Neodiprion lecontei: one gene and its partners. The protein of the gene in region 2 purifies or fractionates together with the protein of the main gene of each other region. This does not show direct contact. Links are inferred from orthologs where the notes say so. Each region holds a gene or a part of one and is shown on either strand. Other genes may lie near its edges. The genes, in order: trifunctional enzyme subunit beta, mitochondrial; sequestosome-1; serine/threonine-protein kinase Pink1, mitochondrial; DNA repair protein RAD51 homolog A.

Region 1 (5,097 bases), on a different chromosome or scaffold from region 2:
GCGATTTTATTATTAATTTCAATGAAATAATTCAAAAATGTTCTTAAACATCTAAATGATAAAGCCCTCAAACTCAAATTGCTCCAAGTGTTTTCATTTTCTTTGAAAAAAAATACTGAAAATAGGTATTATTTTAGCCCGTCCAAGCTGAATCCCCCCCATTAACGTCACAATGATGCCCACTAATCTATATAGGCGCCAATTGAATAAACAAGTGGTATCTCGGCCAAAATACGGGATAAAAACCTAGCAAAGTCACGATACGAGTATAACTGCTACAACCTATAAGTACCTACATCCAGAAACCCCCTGTTTCTTGCTCCGTGTTGCCTTTAATATACTCCCTTGTATAATTCACGGCTATAGAGATTTCTCTCCGGCTATAGCTACCGATGCATCTGTAACGTATATGCATACATATAGCCCGATGGGTGGATCTTGTGTCACAAAGATTAATTGCCTGTAAGTACACCCTCGTGAATTTATGCCTAGGTAAATAATTGCAGGTTTCGTTCTACAGCCGATACACTGCATTATTATACAAAGCACCCTATATTACACTTGATCCCCTCATAGTTTTACACCTGCGCCCCGACCTATATCCTATACCTTCTTCGTCCGTGGCTGGAATCCAAGAACCGCAAGTTGTATTATTCTTGGTATTCTGCAGTATCCAGTGCTGATAACGAGCCAATTTCCGGTCGGTGGGAAGAAAGCCGATGCATTTATCGACGGTCTCTGCCTCCGATTGTTTCAGTCGAAAGTACCGGAATCGTAGAAATAATTGGTGAAAGTTAAAGTAAGCAGATTTCTGAATAACTGCGATTTGTCAAGAGTTGACTAAACACGCTTGCGGCGGTAATCGAAGATGCTCGTATTATCTATCTATGGCAAAAATCTAACACATTTTGGCCATTTTTTATCGCGTGATTATCCGTGTGCTTAACATAATATTCGTTTCCTCGCGTAACTTATAGCGATTGGCGAAATTCTCAGCTCTGTAGAATAATTTTTCCGTTGCACTATATTATTTCTAACTCGACTTCAAGTTATTAGTTAAGTATAGTGCCATCTTCGATCCAGCCGATGAAACCTGATAACGGAGCGAAGCGGAGATGTGGTATCACAGAATCCAAGTGACACTAAACGCAAACGAATAATACGACTGTACAATTTTTCAAGATTAAGCTTTCCTAGAGAGCAGATGAAACAACGTAAAAAAGAACGCATAAATTCTGTACCAAGACGAAATCTTTGAAAATCCATTTTCAGTGCAAAATCTTTAAGTTTATCCGTGCAAAAACAACCTTTGTTATTTTTAATACGTTTTAATGGTCTATTATGAATTGCAATTATCGTTTTGGGATCTTTACTTATAATTGAAAAAAGTTTTCTTATTGTACGTGCAAATAAACGCTGATTCAGTCATCATTTCAGGCGACGACTCTTAAAAATCCCGCCAGTTTATGAAGTGAATGCTAGCGCTCAAGCGGCGATACGAAGAACCTGAATCCGTACACGGCAAATTAGTAATTTATTCCAGCTAAGCACTCTTTAGATATAGTTAACTGTTTCGAGACTTTGGCACTTGGCAGAAGGCTGCTAGTGGAAAGCGGAGTGTTTAAAGTGTGCTTGGTTTATTTATATTGTTGATAGTAATATTAAAAACATGGCAACGTATCTAGCGAGAAATCTAATACGCCTTAATCACGGTATCGGCTCACAAACCGCAGGTAAACTCGATAAACACACCGATTTATAACGATTTTTTTTTCGGCTAGATTAATAGACTTTAAGAAATTGTTCAGTGTGTAATTGGATGAGCCATCGCCCCGCACATACCGTGCCATTCAATTGTGCCCCTTGCCCTGCTTGGCTCAACGCGGTGCAAAGTACACTCGGTCACTTTCCGCATGCTTTTTCAATTGAAGCTAATTAGCCAATCTGTAATATGCAAAACATGATTGAGGAAACCGTGATTTTCCCCAGGAATACCTAATGCCCATTGTTTTCTAATTTTTCCATCAAGCTGAAGTCAGCAGACAGATTCAGCAATCAAGCGCAATATACAGTTTTTCACTAATAATACTGTGATAAAAGTACTACATTTTTATGAAATTTGTCAAGATTTAATTCTACCAGGCTTCACTGTCTTATTTTCATTACTGTTAGCATATTCGGCTGATAGAGTAAGCCTTCTTTTATTTTTAAAAGTCTATTACCCTACCCATTCACAATTTTTTTCATATTTGTTCCAAATAACTTTTCAACTCTTCGCTCGCATCTGAAGGAGCAAAGTGCGATGCTAATCTGTTTAATTTGTGCATGTAGCTCTTCCTCTGGCTTTGAAAAACCTCAACGGAACCAGAAATGGGGACAGAGGTTATGCGACAAAGGGGGGAAGTCCGGCTGGAAAGAATATCGTCTACATCGACGGAGTTCGCACTCCGTTTCTTTTGTCAGGCACACAATACAGCAAGCTCATGCCTCATGATCTTGCCAGGCATGCCCTGCTGTGAGTTTTATGTATTTATTTATTTATTTTTTTGGTTGAAAGATTTAAAACTAAAATTTATTACACCTGAAAATGAAGAGGTTTAACGTAATACCCAACCTGTTGAAACATTAATTTCAGGAGCCTTGTAAACAAGACTGGAATTGACAAAGACTTGGTAGAATATATAACGTACGGCACAGTTATCCAGGAAGTCAAGACCTCCAATGTTGGTCGAGAAGCAGCACTGGCTGCAGGCTTCAGCCAGAAGACACCCGCACATACTATAACCATGGCGTGTATCAGCAGTAATCAGGCTATAACTACTGGCGTTGGTCTGATTGCCTGTGGCGTGTACGATGTTATCGTTGCCGGTGGTGTAGAGTTCATGTCCGATGTACCAATCAGGCACAGCCGCAACATGCGATCCTTAATGCTGCGTGCCAATAAAGCAAAGACTTTACCTCAGAAGTTAGGCCTCCTGGCTAGCATCAGGCCTGGCCACTTTGTTCCAGAGGTAAGCGGAAAGTTATAAATTGTTGTAAAGAATAGTTGTGTTAAATGTCAATATTTAACCATGTACTTCGATTTTGTTAGTTGCCAGCGGTAGCGGAATTCTCTAGCGGAGAAACTATGGGTCACAGTGGCGACAGGTTAGCTTCGGCATTTGGAGTAACTCGGGCAGAACAGGACCAGTATGCCTTGCGCTCGCATACTCTCGCTTCCCAAGCCCAACAGCAAGGATTTTTATCTGATATTGCGCCATTCAAAGGTAATTCCCTCAACGTTACTGGATAATTTCATACCACATGTATATTTGTTGATTAACACAGTTTCACATCTTTTCAGTGCCTGGTGTGAATGACGTCATTGACAAGGACAATGGAATTCGAGTTTCTACACCAGAACAGCTAGCTAAGCTTAAGCCAGCGTTTGTTAAACCATACGGGACTGTTACAGCAGCTAACGCATCTTTCCTGACTGACGGAGCATCCGCTGCTCTCATCATGACTGAAGAAAGGGCTAAGCAGCTTGGACTGAAACCAAAAGCATATCTGAGGAACTTTACTTATGTATCGCAGGATCCGGTCGACCAATTGCTCCTGGGACCTGCCTATGCTATCCCAAAGGTAAAATTATCTTCCCTAGCTTTTATTTTGACCCTGTCATACGAATACAGATTTCGCAATTTGGCTGGTTTAAGTACTGGAACTGTAAAATTCGAACATATGGAACAAAATTTTTTGATCCCCCAATTAATGGAAATATCTAGTTACATTAAATACAGGTTGCACGAAATACAAAAATGTATATAAATTAAACGCCTCACAGGTGTTGGAAAAAGCCGGCCTGGGCTTGAATGACATAGGAGTCTGGGAAGTGCATGAGGCGTTTGCTGCACAAATTCTAGCAAACTTGAAAGCCATGGATTCTGATTGGTTTGCACAGAAATATATGGGTAGATCAGGTAAAATTGGTGTGCCAGATATCAACAAGTGGAATGCTTGGGGTGGTTCTCTGTCTATCGGACATCCCTTCGCCGCTACTGGAGTTAGATTAGCAACTCACACAGCAAACCGCATGATCAGAGAGGATCAACAATTCGGGCTAATTGCTGCCTGCGCTGCTGGTGGTCAGGTCAGCAATGATTTCTTATTTTATTATACACAAATTTTAATTCTTGGATCCTCAAGCCTGGCATGCGCTGCAGTAATCAATGACGGATGAACCATTTATCTTTATTTACAGGGAGTTGGAATGATACTGGAGAGACACCCAGATGCCAAACTTTAACGGAACTGCAGAATAAACTATTCTAATCTTCTATTCGTAAATACGATACACTGCATTAAACGTTTTATAAATGCAAAAGAGTACGAACCCTTTCAAAACTAGGCTGAAAGAACGAATTTATATTTTTACAGTCGGAGATATCTGTTATATAAATGTGTACATGTATATATTTTTTAAGATTTATTACACCTTGAAAAAAGGAAAAAAAAAGCGTAATGAAATAGTACAATAAATCATGATCCATTTCAAATTTTCATTAGTTCATTTCATATGCATAGCTGACGACACATACACACATATATAAGTAAAACAAATATGGGGATGAATTAAACATAGTACTAAATAAAATGAGGATCATGTGTCGTTAAATGGAATCTAACTGCTTGATCAAGAATCACCCTTGTATCCCGACAGCCCTGCAACGCCCGTTGCCTGAGCCCTTCGAGCCTGGAGAGATGGAGTCGTGCACCAGTTCCTTGCGCCACGACTACTAAACCGGAATTGTCGGTATCTGACTCATAATTAGAGCCAGGGGCTCCTGGTAAAGCAACGACAGTTAATGTCGTCGCTCCTGTACATTCCTCCATATGATTTGCATCAACTATTCCTGTTCCAGATCCTGTTTCATCCTTACTGTCAACTTCTTCCGAAGCTCCCATGCTGGCTATCGTTGCTGTGCATCCTACAGAGTAATCCTGTAAGTAAAGCATATCAAATTTCATTATTTTTATAGTAGAAATCAGTAAAAGCACAGTGCGTAAGAAGTTATTATTAGAAGTACCTTAATGGGAATACCAGCGTCGATTAGA
Region 2 (4,633 bases):
CGCTGAGATCTTCGCGTTTTACTACTCTGCTTATTAGCTGTATAGATCGCTGTCGGTATAACGTATTTTCTCATACATTATATATGTGGTATCATACCTGTGCGAGTTTTAAATCAGCGTGTGAATATGCGAGTATTTAATAACAATGTGCTGTCTCGAAATAAATAAAATTGCTAGGGTGATAATCGTTCGATGTTACGAACGATGTTTCGGCCTATACTAATTAATGTCTGTATTCTTCCGCGGTAACGTGGCCTATAATACGAAATTTCAAATAGAAATCAAATAGAATGCAATTAATACTTGCGAACAATGTCATAACCGCGTTGCGCAAGCCTAGAATAATTTCTTGCGTAATAACTTCAGCAACTACTGAATGTATGTAAGTCGCATTCTGTGGCTACATATACGCGTATAAGTAGTCAAAGCCATGATAGCGTAGGAAAATTGTATTTGCTTCAGCTTTCACCGTGCGTTTAGTTACTTACACACTTGCAAAAGTTTCCGTTTATAATAAGAACGCGTATTATACTATTATCCTCCGCTGATCTTGTCTCTGGAGAATCTTACGAAAACTATCAGAGACCAGATTCTAGGTAGTCGTCGAGGCGATAATTTATTCCCACGCACAAGTTGTAAACTTTACCAAAATTATACACCAACTGCGTGTATATTTCATATATTTTATTGAACTTTTGCAAAGACTATTTATATTGTAAAACGCGTTCAAATAACTGTAGATATAAGATTATTTTATTTGCCTGCTGTTTCAGGTACGTTACAACTATCCTAAACAAAATTCGTATGTTGTATCCGCATGCGGATTTCCATCCTTTCGAATATCGTATAGGCTATTTAATCATACCCGTATTAATACCAACACCGGGAGAAACTTTGCTTTGAAAAACTATTGTTTAGTTTCTTTGAATAAGAAATCCTTTAACCAGATGAAATTGGATATAATTCCACTACTTTTCTGTTTTCTAATTTGCTGTGACCTACTCTGGAAAATCTTGAATCACCTAACTTTTTAGATTCTTTTATCATCGTCTCTCAACAAAGTTTAGAGGATAAATTTTCACGAGGGCATAGAAGTTGGGAATGTTCTAGTATAAATGATTCATTGTTAGTGAAGCTTGAGCGAGTGAACTCGTCAACTTTCGGCATCAATTCTGCCATGTAATGCGATGCCGCTGGATACCCAGTTTGGCTTCACACTGACGCAACCTCACGCAACCTGTAGCGAAATGTAGATAGGAAGCACGGCGTAAAACATGAAAGAAAAAATTTAATGTTCTATCAGGTGTGAGTCACAAGAAAAGAAATTTCAAGATGCTTCTGGTATATTCCAATGCCAGTTCTATGGGTAAAAATTTCAGCGAAATTTCATTTGATTATAAACTTAAACGCAGTACTTAAAATTAATGGATGCAAACGAAAATTAATGTTTTTCCACCGGTGCAGAATATCTACATTTTTTCACCGTATGAGTCAAGTTGGAAACATTGAAAGATTAGATTTTCGAATCCGTATCGCGTAATTCCGATTGCAAATTAGGCTATCTGAATATTCGTAATGTACGCATTATTCACCCAGTAATCCACGTATCCAGATATTGATAACTTGTCGTTGTATACCTCACGTGGTAGTGAGTCACGATGAATAATGATGACAATGGCAACAAAGTGACGTGCTGCGCACGAAAATTGCATCTCATGCAGGCCGAAGACGCCATTTTGAGGTTCGAATGTTTAAATGTCGACTTTTCAAATGTAGAATTTTCCACAATTTCGAGTCGTCGGATGAAATTTACATGATGACATTTCTCGTTGAAGTTGTGCGACGAGTTTCTTCAAGCTACATCATCTCGAAGTAATCCCCGAAAGCTGTGTCACGGTGTTTTAAATTCGAATTTCGAACGTCGTGGCACGGCGCCATTCGCGCGACCTGCGCGCCAGTTGAGACGAATGGCCGCTTGCGGATTGCGTCGAGTATAAAAATCACCGTTTGGCAACTGCGCACATCATTCGAAGACTCTCATCGCCTGACGACGCTTCTGTGCACGCTTCAAAAAACAAAGCGATTTGTAAACGATTCAAGGCGTTTACGAGGTTGAAAAATACACAACACGCGAATCTACATTCCAGAGCTTCTGACATTCTGAGTTCACAATCAGTTCAACATCCACAATGATGTCTGAGACGGTCAGCTTCAAAGTATTCTTGTCCAAAGAGGAGGACCCCATCGACGCTAAGCCCGAAGTTAGGAGATTCGGCATCGATAAGGACGTAGTGACGAATTTTCTCTACCTGAACGAGAAGCTGCAGTCCGTCTTCGCGGCACTCCGCTCGCGGCGTTTTACCATCTCTTGGAAAGGTACGAAATATCAATCTGATAATCGCGTAAAATGCGAGTAATCATCGTCAACGTTATTGCGCAATTCCAAAATCTGTATATTGTAAATTTGAAAAATTATAGTAATGACACAAACTTTCTAATCACAGACGCTGACGGTGACAACGTCATCGTATCCAGCGACGAGGAGCTCAGAATTGCCCTATCCGAAACTGCTGAGCAAAGCATTCGCAAACTGTACGTCGTCCTGCACTCCGAGTACCCAGCTGAGAATGCTCAGCCGGACGCCGAGCAGCCACAGGCCATTCACATCGACATAATTTGCGACGGATGTGAAAAGGATGTCCATGGATTTCGTTACAAGTGCATCCAATGCCCAAACTATGACCTGTGCGCGGATTGCGAGTCCAAGGGACTTCATCCGGAGCACTGTATGATACGCAGTCCAGTCCCGTTGCAGTGGAACCCCCACGTTGGACGTCGACTATCGCACTTCATGTACAAGTTAGCCAGAAAGAATGGGCGGACTGCAAGAGATACAGATTTGACAAAGTGTCCCTACAAGAGGGTAAAGTTTACCCATAACTCGCACGCTGGGAGACTGGAGGCGGATAGACCTTCTTGGCTGGACACTGTAACTGCCTACTTGAACGAATGGGCTCAACTTCCGTCAGAAGGAAGCTGCCCAATGAAAGAACAACCTGGGCAGAAGGTGGGTGAAGAATCTAAGACTGAAACTGAGGACAAGCGAAGGATCAATCGACAGGCAGAGCTTTTTAAGAATGTCGGAGAGAATCTAGCCAATTTTTTGAACCCATTGAGTATCGACGTTGAAGTTCATGCCGAGGCTCCCAATGCAGCTGGGAAGGCTCCTGCTGGCGGTAACGCAAAAACCCCACCTGAGAACAGCCCACCTAGTACTTCGGCACACAAATTTCCTGGGGAAGGAAAGAAGCTAGTTGATACTGCATCGACTTCTGAGAACCCTGTACATCAGCCTACTGTCGATGCTTCCGCACCTATCGACAAACCTAACATGGAAAGCGAGGAGTGGACACTGCTTAATCAACAGGATACCCCGGTCTCTTACGTTACTGAAGGAGTTTCGAGCATCAGTTTGTCTACTGGAGCCGTACCTAAAGTGGTAAATTTCTCTTACAATAAATTGCAATTTGATTCCATGCATTGAAAAGTGATCGGTGTTCTATTATATTGTTTGTTTTCAGCCGTCAACAACTGTTCCGACAGCTTCTGCACCAGTTCCGATATTGGCTTCTACCGTAGCTACGAAACCAATTTATCCCAAATTGCCGCAACAGGCCGAGGCTCCGATCCCAATTTATCACCCCGACCCAAACATCCAACGCGCTGTGGTTGCAATGATGCAGATGGGTTTCACAAATGAAGGCGGATGGCTTACTCAGCTGCTGGCTTCCAAAAATGGTGACATTAGCAAGGCTCTGGATATTCTGCAACCAGTTCGTCCCGGCAATAGCAAGCAGTAAAAAAAACATGACGAAAGTAGTGGTTAATTGTTGACGACTAAACTGCTAATTCACTAACGATATATGTTTGATATCTATCATGTGCATAGTTTTTACTGCAATTTTATTACTTTTACCGTTTATATTGTACGTAACTACCGAAAAAAAGCATTCCCTTTTGTTTGCTCATGTTTTACTGTGAGAAATGATAATAATTCCTGCAATGGTGATTGTATTGACTTTGTTTTCTGATTCCTAAAATATAAACAAAGCAAAAAGCATTGAATTGACTATTTACTTGATTTCACGATAAACCTACTTTTCCTATGAATTTAATACCTTAATTTACGAAAATTATTCTAAGCTAAACAACTTTTATTTCAATTATTACATATCCATCTTACAAAGCTGCGCATAAATTCATAAGTTTGAAACCATTTTTGGCAGATAAGAGTTTCAACTCTTGTAATCCCTCGTCATCGCAGTTTCTGACCCACCGTCTATCTTTGAAGTAATCCATAACATTATAAAACTCGGAATCCGTGTAGGGGTTCACAGATACTGGCATAAAGGGATCCAAATGCTCAAAGCCGGCTTTTCCAAGTAGCAATCTTGGAAGATCAGATTCTTTTTTGCCCTAGATGAAGACCAAATAAGTTATCATGAATCTAGTATTCAGATGATCAAAAAACGGGTAAAATGTTCGCTAATTTACCCCGACAGCTAATTGATCCACGCTCACGACAACAGCTCCGTTGCACCAATCGTATTTCGTCATTTCCAATGCGGCAATA
Region 3 (6,929 bases), on a different chromosome or scaffold from region 2:
TTGAAACAATATTGGCGAAAACCTTAAAAAAAATATGCAATTTCAATGTGAAGTACTAGCACATGGGAAATGTACTTTACTGAAGCCTTCTTACCATGAAGCTAAGGAGACCGGTGAGAATGGTGGAAACACTCCATGCCGGGTTCCAAGTGTCTGGATGAAAATCGGATATGGATAGACAAAGCCGTGTGTTTACTTTGAATCTGCCGTTTGGCGTGGTCATGTATATGCTAGGTGGTTTGAAAGGAAACTCCCGTGGAAATACGAGCTTTCCGTGATAAAATCCACCCTCGTAAGGTGTACTTTCCGGACCGTTGACAACATAATGCCTGTAAGTATAAAAATAAATAAACAAATCAATTGTCTCGTCGTAGGCTTGCAGCCTGATTCAATGCTATACGTCGACTGACATCAATATTGTGCAAATGGATGAATTGTCAATCTTTTACGCACGCGAAGGATCAAAATAATGTTATCTTTATTACCATTCTAATATATTCGAAGGTACGGGTTCAGCTACGACGTACGGCACCGGGTCCTTTTTCAGTCTCAAATAGTCTTGCTTTAATCTAGCAGTGGCAGTGTTTGGCTTTCTATTCATTATTACCATATATATATAAACTAGGCTGGGTTGATCGGTACTATTGGTAATGGAAACTTCACTGTTTTCACACTTGTATTCACGAATGAGTATTAATTATTTCTCACATCAGGCTCAACTGTTTTTCGTGAGACACATTACCGCGATACAATTAATTACATGTATACGTATAACGTGATAACCTATTTTCGTAGAGGAGTCAGACGTCAGTTTTGACGATGAAAAAAAAAAATGATAAAAAAAAAAAAAAACCACGTCAACGTTGTAAAGGTTAACTGGAATTTGAGCGTTTGGAAAATACGACTTCACGGTACACTCGCAGAGTTTTGATAATACCTGGCTAAATACGGGGCGAATATTATTGCGATTGTTAGAAATCAGGAGTCACAACGAATGAAAAAATATCCTTCGACTTTGACAACCAACAATTTTCACGGCACACAAACATATGATGGAAGACCCGTATACCGGAAGTGAAACAATCCAGCATCCTGCGTAGTTGACTTGTGCGCTTTACGCATGACCATTATATTCCAAGTATCGCTCATTGTCAGGCGCACTTTCGTCATTCGAATCGTAAATACGGATCAATTCAGACTGAGAGAAGTTGGTTGACTGGAATTATTTTTCTTTATGCGTGTCCTCGCACTTCGCCAAATGTATCATCAGTAGACTGAACAGATTTTACAACGCAAGTTTACCTTTATAACGCCACAATCGCGGATGTACTTGCGAACTAGGAAGTATGATAAGTATCTATGCTATGACAGAAAAATTAATTATACTTATACCGTTATATTAGCGTTGTTGGCGATACGATTTTTTTGTCGCATTCAGCTTCACTAGGTACCTTATCCGAAAGAAGGAAAAACCCGCGAGTAGTATACGTCCTGTTTCCTGATTTCATATTTTCCCGCGCTTTTGCGGATTTCGAGTCTGCGCAAAATGGAGGCTGATTTCACCCAATCGGGTCCGAAAGGCAGGTTCATCCATGGGTATGATAATTGCAAATGGTGAACTTTGAACTGGCGACAAAAGACGTGTTCGAATTCTTTTAAAAATAATTAGAGTGTTCCAGGACTCTTGATAATTGCGCGATCAAAATTTTCCAGTTAAAACTCTTCGCGTCTGGGTTAGGGCCCGCCCGGGCTCTCTCGGCCCACGAGTGCGGAGAAATGTCGTTACGAACGGTAGCGCAACGTCTCCTGCAAAATGGTCGTGTCCTTCTCCGTTCAGTACGCAATCCACAATATTACACGCAAGGCAACAAAATACACGTTGTGGAAGTAGGTAAGGGCCTGTTGTCATCTTCTACCCGTGACTATCATACTCAAATCGACTCGACACATCAATCTCATCAGTCCGGTACCAATTCGCTGGCAATCGTCACAAATAACCATGTCACTATCATTAGGTTATCCCTTGCAACGTAACGGCGTATTATAGGTATGTCGTACTTGGAATGTATATGTAAATACTGCATTCATTTGAAACGTCATTTCCAATCTCAGAGCTGGTACGAATCGTTGTTTTCATTGTCTTTTTTTTTTTTTTTAGTAAAATCACTCGAGGCACCTTCATTGTTGCGATTATACGCACTTCCAAGTTTTGTACAATTTTATATACTCAGCATTTTACATGTGATTATATACGTTTAACGCGACTGGTGCTCATAATAATGTTAGATTTTACTCCCGCTTCAATTCAGTGTAGAGTGTATTCTCATTGTTTTATTCCATACTTTCGACTTGAAACATCATTTTATGCGAGAGAGTAGGAATAAATTACTTTCATGTTGAGAACAACACAAAGAATTACAGAATCAAAAGCAAACATTCTTGTTTACTATCATACTTATGGGACAATTTTTAATTCAATTCAGATTTTTATGTATCAATTAGTTAGTTGATTGATTACTAATGAACAAGAATTCTTGACTCATAATTAATTTCTTCTTCAACTATAATCTAATAAATATTTCAACACCATAAAATAAAAATAAAATTTCTTGCCAAACTATGACTAGTGTATTTTGAAATTCTTGATTCAGGTAAGACCCAGGGCCAGCTGCCTACGGGTGGTAATGTCTCTGCTGCAGGGAGACACCTCGGATTCCTGGGACTCCATGCTCGGCGGATATTTGTTGACAATGTTTTGAAGCGAGTGACCAATAGTCTCGCCGGAGATTTACGACGTCGTGCAGCAAAACGTTTATTATTTGGAGATTCAAGACCATTCTTTGCTCTGGTTGGCGTATCGCTGGCATCTGGTACTGGAATACTTACCAAAGATGACGAGCTGGAAGGCGTTTGCTGGGAAATCAGAGTATGCATACTTCCAGATATTTTTTTGGAACATAAAAATTAGATGCTCTTACAAACAAATTTCATTTTTTGCAACACAACTTCTATGAAATTCATATTTTATCATGTCATTCAAAGGAAAAAATAAACCCTTAACTAAAGCTTCATTAGACATGGTGATGTCATCTACAAATGGCTCTTATTCAAATGTCAGCTTATTTGTTATTATTATTCAGACTTTATGTTGTTTATAAATATATCATTTTTCCAAGTTCAAACTTAGCTGGCATTTATAATTATTTTGTAAATGGGATTTTAGATAGTCACATGTGAGTTGAATGTTATTTCAACACACTTGTTTTTGTAAAATTTAACTAATGAACGATTGTGAAAATTTTCTAGCCACGAAAAGGAACGCTAAACCGTCTGAAAATCGTCTATAGACTGTAATAAATTTAACATGTTATGTAATCAACTGTTACCTCATTCATAGGAGGCTGTGTCTAAGGTACAATGGAACACTCCAAAAAACGACCAGAATTACGAAGCAACAACGATTGAAGACAATCCAGTTGATTTAAAGGATTTTGTAATTGGACCAGCAATAGCCAAAGGATGCTCAGCAGTCGTGTATGCCACTCGTCCGATTGACCCCGAAGAAAAACAGGATTCTCAAATTACTGTTGATACCAGTAATAAGGATCTGTCCAGCTTTCCGTTAGCTATTAAAATGATGTTCAACTATGACGCAGAGTCTAATGCAACAGCTATTTTGAGAGCTATGTACAGAGAGACTGTACCAGCTAGAAAACATTGTCAGAATGAAGAACTGGCTTTGTGGGAACAGAAAATGGCTGACAACAAAAGAATTCTTTCTCCACATCCGAACATCGTTGCTATGTATTGCGTTTTTGCCGATAGAGTTCCTGATTTACCGGGATCATCGAAAATGTATCCTGACGCTCTTCCACCTAGGATTAACCCGAACGGCTCTGGAAGGAATATGAGCCTCTTTTTGCTGATGAAAAGGTACTTGACAATATAATCTGGGAGCTTCAAATTTCCGGAATTTTGCAGATTCTGAAAAATTGGATCAAATTTATTGGTATTTTCTAAAATTATAAACAAGAGAAACACTTGGGAAAGGTATACCTAGAATCATGTGTGTCATGTTACATGTTATGTTACAACGAAATGAGATATCAATATAGTGTATCGATTTCCAATGACAATACGGGTATTGTATTTCAGGTATGATGTTAGCTTGAAACAATATATGGTGGGCAGAGAATTAATCGTTCGAAAATCGATATTGTTGTTAGCACAACTATTGGAAGGGATTGTTCACATGTGCTCAGCAGGTATTGCACACAGGTAAGGGAGTCAGTGTTGGATTACGTTTTCCACTTGGTGTAGACGAATATTTCTTATATCATGCACCGTGGTTATTATACCAATGGATGACTTAATATTTGTTCATTAAAAAAGAATTAGCGTGAATTCTTCATGCTGCTTTTAATTTACGTTTTGAACAACAGATAAAAATGTGGTATTTTTGGTTACACGTAATGTATGTTTATTAATACAGTGAAATTTTTTAATACAGGGATCTCAAAAGTGACAATATTCTTCTGGACCTTTCAGAAGAACGTGATAATTGCCCGTCGTTGGTAATAACTGATTTTGGATGCTGCTTGGCAGACAAAACTCATGGTCTCTACCTGCCATATAGTTCTCACGATATTGACAAAGGAGGAAACAGTGCACTGATGGCTCCAGAAATCGTTAATGCTGAACCAGGACCATTCACTAGCTTGAATTACACAAAAGCTGATCTGTGGGCTGCAGGGGCTATTGCATACGAAATATTTGGTCAGAAGAATCCATTTTATGGGGAAAAAGGGCAAAAACCACTGCTGATGAACCACAGCTATATAGAATCGGAATTACCGCCACTTCCAGAAGTAATACCACCTGTTATTGTAGCATTGATTAAGAATATGCTTAACAGAAGCATGTACAAGGTATTTATTTTGTTAAGGGAAGGAAGTGTTTTCAAAAATTCATCAAAACTAATATCACTTCTATTTCCGTTACAGAGGAATAATCCCGATATGGCGGCAACCATTATACAAGTCTTTCTCTGGGCACCAAGCATTTGGTTAAACAGCGACAGTAAATTACCGTCAAGCAACGAGGTGATAGTTGTTCTACTTTTTGAGCTTTAAATTTCACGCGTTGATGTACTGTCATTTTTATTATTATTATTTTTGTGTTCAAGATTCTTCAATGGCTTCTGTGTCTCACGACCAAAGTTCTTTGCGAGGGTCGAAAGATCACTGATTCTACGCCAAATCAACTTTCTCAGAAATTGAACGCAGATCTCATTTCCAATCGTGAATATACTCAGCAAATATCTACCCGATCATGTGGACGTCGCACAATGCCCGAGTATCAATTGATAGCCAGCTTTTTAAGTAGAGTTTCACTGATAAATGTAAGAGATGCGTTGAAGTGGATTCATAACCACACTTAAACTCTAGTATTATTGGAAGGAAACAAGAGATGATTCTTAGAGTATTGTATACTGATGCATTGATAAAACATGATATGCTGGTAGAGATCAGTTGTGCTTTATCTCTTGAACTTTGATAAATTTTATTTATTTCTTCAATAGTCTTCAAAACTTTACAAAAATGTTGGTTCGGGAATCATATTACTATTGGGTATAACCAACATGGTTACACGCTATTGCAATACAAGGCAATCCTTACATTGAGAAAAAATGTCGAAAATGAATTTCTACGTTACTTCCAAGACACGTATGCCTATTCATCTTACTGTACATAAATTTTCTGATTTAAGGAAGAATATTTTTTCTTCTCTTCTGTAACTGCGCGAAGCACAAAAAATGGTACTGCAGAATAATGTTATGTCAGTCTCTTCTTTTTGGTGAAAGTGCCTTTGAAAAGGATGTACAGATATTATCAGCTTTATTTTTGAACCTATTACGTTGTTTTTCAAATTTTATTCTACTTATATCATTGTTAATCCACAACAAGTATTTTGAATACGTGAAAGAAATAAGGTTCCTTGAATAAACAATTTGTCGTATTATAAAATTGAGCACTGTGAATTTTGCCGTACCAGCAAATATCGATGAAAGTCGCAAGATACTGCGGAACTACTCGTACTTCGCGATACACTTGATTGTATCGAGATAAGTAAGAGCCTGTTGAAATATTGAGTTCCTCATGATGAATTACATAACATTATTTATTGCAGCTTGGTTAAATATCTCATAGAAATACTAGTCGAATATTGATAAAGAGTATATTTCTCTAAATTATCGTGTTCTGAAATCTAGCTTTAGGGGAAATTATGTTGAATTGGCTGTTATTATTTCATTGTATTTGTGAAAACTTGTATATGAGATGTAAATATCGATTTGAAGTTGAACTAGGATCCAAATAGAGAATACAAATATACGTGGAAAGTGCTCTTAAGTATCTATCTCATAACTATTGTACAGATTATATAACAGTGCTAACAATACATACATAAAATGGTTATATAATTTGGGACTAGAAAACTATCCTGAAGAATATCCTGCATATTTGCATCTCGTGTTTATTAGTTCTAACAATCATTTTTTTTTCTTTTTTATATCTAATGGATGAACTGGCTTTCCACTTCTCTGCATTGCAAATTTCATGTCTTCAATGTTTAAACCCTTTGTTTGAGCCAAATCTTCCAAGTATATGAGGTATTCTTCGAAACTGATGGCACGTTTGTGAAATTTAAAAAAACACAATCCAGTGTCAGTCGTTGTGACTTTATGCATATCAAGAATTTTAGCTGACGCCAGCCATTTATCGCTTTGCGAAAGTGGCAGCAACTTTACGCCTGTCGAATTGGAAAGTGGATCCATTCGACAGTATGCTGAAAAAGTGTCATAAGCTTTTATCACCACAAAACAGTGCGTGAAAGCAACTGTAATTTAGAGGTAATATGAAAAGAAAAGT
Region 4 (3,981 bases), about 20 Mb from region 2:
AAATTTTTGTAAATCACGAATTCAATACCTATATTAAACGTTCGTTCCTCAGTAAAATAGCTCAAATCTAGAAGGCCATTTACGTTATAACATGTAATCGTTGTTCAAATAGTTTCGTCGATAGATTGACATCATTCGACCACACGATGATAACGTCTGCATTTTTTTATTCAGCTCACAGAAATAATACCTGCATAACCCTTAAATGACGAATAAATCTTTTTAAATCAGAAGTATTGGATATCGGTTTAATATTAAAAGGTTACACATCAAACTGACGAGTAACTGCGAGGATAATGGATAAGACGGATAGAATTCTGCACTAAAGTGTGTAGAATGTGTAGAATAAGCTTTCATAGGTCAAGTTGACCAGAGTTCGTACGCTTTTTGGAATCTAAAAGTCCCCGATGTTTCTAAGCGTTTCAGCCTGGAAATAGGATTTATCCAGTAGCCTTCAAAGAAATATGCCGCTAATTTTTTTACATTAATACTAATATCTTCGATATTACTTAATAACTAACTTACTATCTAACAATTTACAAACGACAGCCTGCGATTTTCCGTAAGAAAAAAATCGAAAGAATGTTTGGTATTAAGTAATATACATAGAATGTATGAAGTGGTGCGACGAAACAAAATTTTACGTGCAATTTTTTTTATTAAGATCGACAGTACTTTGTATATAAGAACGAGTTTACTTGTTCGACAAACTCAAAATTTCAGTCTTACTTTAAAATTCTTGTGAGTTTACCCTGTGCGTGCGAACCCTGTTGACACTATGATTCTGGGCAATGGATTGAAATAATTAAATGTAGAGAGTTTAATCAGTGGTGTTTGTAAATCGAGTTACAAATTGCTACGCTATAACGAGCATCTAAACTTCAGCTGACGCAGATCAATGCGAATGTTTTTTAGCGACGAGAAGCGAGCACTGCTGCCAACGTAATTGGATCATCGAAAATTTTCGGTGCTTCAATCGAATCGAATAAAACGCGCACATCCGCGTCGCGATGCCGTGACGTCACGTGCCCTTCGAAAGTAGCTCGCACAGTGCGAAACATACGTTGGCGGTATTTTTCCAGAGATAGCTCGCCCCGCTCGCCGCCTCATTCGTTCGTTCGCAACGCGAATAGCGAACTAGTTGAAAGCGAGCGAGAGAATGAGAAGCAAACGGGTGTCTATGTACGGATTATTTTCTTCGATCCGTAATTTTTTCTTCTCTTTTCATTTTTGTCTGGCCCGTTTCCCCCGTTTCCCTCTCATTTTATTCGTTGCGGCGACGAGATATACGACATACACGCACACACGCACTGCAGGTAGCAATGAATCGGTGAAAATAAACGAAAGCAAGATGAACGCGTGACCGACGTCTTGGCTGATTTATTTTTCAGCACGTACCTTTCTACACGCTAAACTATCCCCCTTTCTAGTCTCGATCAACGTGTTGTCCAGGTCGAATAGAACTGTGGTTATAGCCGCAGCTGCTGCCGTTGTTGTCGTCGTTGAGTTTTTCCTTCCAAGAGCTGCCATCCTGTCTATGTATCGCTACCTTCTAGCTCGTACTAATTCCGCGCTGTTTGGCTCTGCTTTGACTTCTCTAATGCTCGGCAGACTCTTATGTGACAACATGAGCTTGTATTAATGAATTAACGACCTGCTGCTTCGTCGTTTGGCCACCCAACCAGTGGCAGGTACTGTACAACCAAGGCGGAGGAGTGGGGCAGCAGCGGTGGTTTTTTCACGTCTGACGTCACGGCTCTTGTGGTTTTTTTAATCGATGAGCATAGCAGTCTGATTTACCGGTCAAGTCGGTTGACTGAAACAGAACAACAACGTTATCGGACCGTCGGTAATTTTCAGTCGGTATACGTGTTACGTAAATATTATTACGGCGGGAAACAACGTTGTGACCCGACTCGAAATTTGACAGGATCGCGTAGAAGGTTCTTTTTTCGCTTCGTCCAGCAGGCGAAAAATTAATTCAATGTCGGTAACGGCTACGGCAACTACTGCGTCTATCCAGGGCGACGAGGATTTAGAAGAGTTTAATCCACAGGCGAAACTGATAAAGGCTATAGAAGTGAGTAATGAATGCGAAGAAGTGTGTTACCCAACCTAACCTAAATCGGCCCAACTGAGGATTAAGTGAACTCTCTCTAACCATAAAATATTCCCGCCTATTAGCTTGTTTTCTCACCGCTCGTCGGAACAAGTATCAAAGTGTAAAATGCATGTTTCTTTTTTCAGGGTAATGGCATTACGGCGGGTGATGTTAAAAAACTGCAGGAAGCGGGTTACTACACTGTCGAGTCAGTGGCGTACACGCCAAAGAAGCAGCTCACCACGATAAAAGGGCTGAGCGAGGCAAAGGTAGAGAAAATACTGGATGCTGCGTACAAGATGGTGGTGATGGGCTTTAAGACTGCAACCGAGATCCATCAGTACAGGGCGAACACTGTATATCTAACGACAGGATCCGCGGAACTGGACAGGCTCCTGGGTGGAGGGATTGAGACGGGTTCGATAACCGAGATATTCGGGGAATTCCGAACAGGCAAAACGCAGATATGTCATACGCTTGCGGTCAACTGCCAGTTGCCAGTGGACATGGGCGGTGGAGAAGGAAAGTGCCTTTACATCGATACGGAGGGCACGTTTCGTCCCGAGAGGATAATCGCAGTAGCTGAACGGTACAAGATCAGCTCCGAGTCTGTTTTGGACAATGTCGCCTGTGCTAGAGCCTTCAATACCGACCACCAGACACAGCTGCTCATTCAAGCTTCTGCGATGATGACAGAGTCTCGATACGCGCTGCTAATTGTCGACAGCGCCACAGGTCTCTATAGAACGGACTATTCGGGTAGGGGGGAATTGTCCGCCAGACAAATGCACCTTGCTAGGTTTCTAAGGATGCTTCTGAGAATTGCCGACGAGCACGGCGTAGCAGTCGTAATAACGAACCAGGTTGTAGCCCAGGTCGACGGCGCGGCCAGTATGTTTGGCGGCGATCAGAAGAAGCCCATCGGCGGTAACATCATCGCTCACGCCAGTACCACAAGATTGTACTTGAGGAAGGGCAGGGGCGAGACTAGAGTTTGCAAAATATATGACTCGCCCTGTCTTCCCGAGAGCGAAGCTATGTTTTCTATAAATTCGGACGGCATTGGGGACGCTAAAGAATAATTTTGATAACGAGTTGACAAAGTTTTGTGATACGATATACTATATAGGATAATATAACTCTAAGATAAAAGATTTAATATTTTTATATATGAGAACGTATTTCTATCGTAGATTGTAATGTTTAATTTATCAGTAATCGTTAAGCAATTTAATTACGATATATAAATAAATAAATGAATAATTCCCCTTGTGTAAAAATTGTTTGATGGGCAGTAATTTAAAATGTGTATTATCAATTAACAAAGAAAACGCAAATGATAATGAAATAAACTTTCTTTGCTTTTTTATAAATCATTTTCATTCGTTATTCCAGAGCCTTGAACATTTTTTAACATAATCATCTGAACTCCTTAGGCAATTTTATTTATTTATTTATACACGAATAAGCCGATGGAATTATGGACTTTAAAATTTTTTTTTAGTTCAAGATTTGAAAATCGAATTCGATTCTTACACACTTGGAATCGATGCTAGAAAAATTCGATTGGTAAATTATCGATACAAAAAAGAGAATTTTTTAGCCATCCTTAATTAATGTCCTTCATCCTGGTGAGTTGTTACCACTGAAATATATATACGTGATTGTTATAGGTATACCTCTCATGGGTGTAGTACACATGACACCCGTGCGTGACACAAGCAGCCGGCGAAAATTGCTGTTAGGTTAAGTTATCAATGACGCAATCGTGTCAGTTTTATCATCGCGCATAATTTTGATCCCAGCTCATCGTCGTTCGTTGGGAAGATAAAAAGTATACAACTGTTTGGTGTTAAACGGTCTTGAATAATTCCAGATTT

The links.
Region 1: the proteins of sequestosome-1 (region 2) and trifunctional enzyme subunit beta, mitochondrial purify together in Homo sapiens (affinity purification with mass spectrometry; 3 studies listed by BioGRID and IntAct, with this or other methods). This does not show direct contact. The link is inferred for Neodiprion lecontei from reciprocal best matches to the Homo sapiens genes SQSTM1 and HADHB.
Region 3: the proteins of sequestosome-1 (region 2) and serine/threonine-protein kinase Pink1, mitochondrial purify together in Homo sapiens (affinity purification with mass spectrometry; 3 studies listed by BioGRID and IntAct, with this or other methods). This does not show direct contact. The link is inferred for Neodiprion lecontei from reciprocal best matches to the Homo sapiens genes SQSTM1 and PINK1.
Region 4: the proteins of sequestosome-1 (region 2) and DNA repair protein RAD51 homolog A purify together in Homo sapiens (affinity purification with western blotting; 3 studies listed by BioGRID). This does not show direct contact. The link is inferred for Neodiprion lecontei from reciprocal best matches to the Homo sapiens genes SQSTM1 and RAD51.

What each region holds. Positions count from the first base shown.
Region 1 is NC_060262.1:41,630,308-41,635,404, reverse strand, and holds trifunctional enzyme subunit beta, mitochondrial, read left to right. Parts: upstream 1-1,571; 5' UTR 1,572-1,669; coding exon 1,670-1,733; intron 1,734-2,331; coding exon 2,332-2,515; intron 2,516-2,635; coding exon 2,636-3,011; intron 3,012-3,091; coding exon 3,092-3,266; intron 3,267-3,343; coding exon 3,344-3,624; intron 3,625-3,826; coding exon 3,827-4,132; intron 4,133-4,243; coding exon 4,244-4,288; 3' UTR 4,289-4,571; downstream 4,572-5,097. Other genes in the region: exosome complex component RRP41, read right to left, coding at 4,627-4,983, 5,070-5,097. UniProt on the Homo sapiens protein: Mitochondrial trifunctional enzyme catalyzes the last three of the four reactions of the mitochondrial beta-oxidation pathway.
Region 2 is NC_060266.1:21,786,023-21,790,655, forward strand, and holds sequestosome-1, read left to right. Parts: upstream 1-2,009; 5' UTR 2,010-2,189; coding exon 2,190-2,376; intron 2,377-2,504; coding exon 2,505-3,499; intron 3,500-3,581; coding exon 3,582-3,860; 3' UTR 3,861-4,120; downstream 4,121-4,633. Other genes in the region: 28S ribosomal protein S29, mitochondrial, read right to left, coding at 4,240-4,476, 4,555-4,633. UniProt on the Homo sapiens protein: Molecular adapter required for selective macroautophagy (aggrephagy) by acting as a bridge between polyubiquitinated proteins and autophagosomes.
Region 3 is NC_060263.1:37,179,229-37,186,157, forward strand, and holds serine/threonine-protein kinase Pink1, mitochondrial, read left to right. Parts: upstream 1-1,591; 5' UTR 1,592-1,776; coding exon 1,777-1,891; intron 1,892-2,651; coding exon 2,652-2,926; intron 2,927-3,397; coding exon 3,398-3,933; intron 3,934-4,155; coding exon 4,156-4,278; intron 4,279-4,510; coding exon 4,511-4,928; intron 4,929-5,003; coding exon 5,004-5,102; intron 5,103-5,185; coding exon 5,186-5,440; 3' UTR 5,441-6,410; downstream 6,411-6,929. Other genes in the region: ubiquitin-conjugating enzyme E2 J2, read right to left, coding at 95-329, 486-610. UniProt on the Homo sapiens protein: Serine/threonine-protein kinase which acts as a sensor of mitochondrial damage and protects against mitochondrial dysfunction during cellular stress.
Region 4 is NC_060266.1:1,583,182-1,587,162, forward strand, and holds DNA repair protein RAD51 homolog A, read left to right. Parts: upstream 1-1,854; 5' UTR 1,855-1,984; coding exon 1,985-2,080; intron 2,081-2,247; coding exon 2,248-3,183; 3' UTR 3,184-3,431; downstream 3,432-3,981. Other genes in the region: N-acylneuraminate-9-phosphatase, read right to left, coding at 1,399-1,530.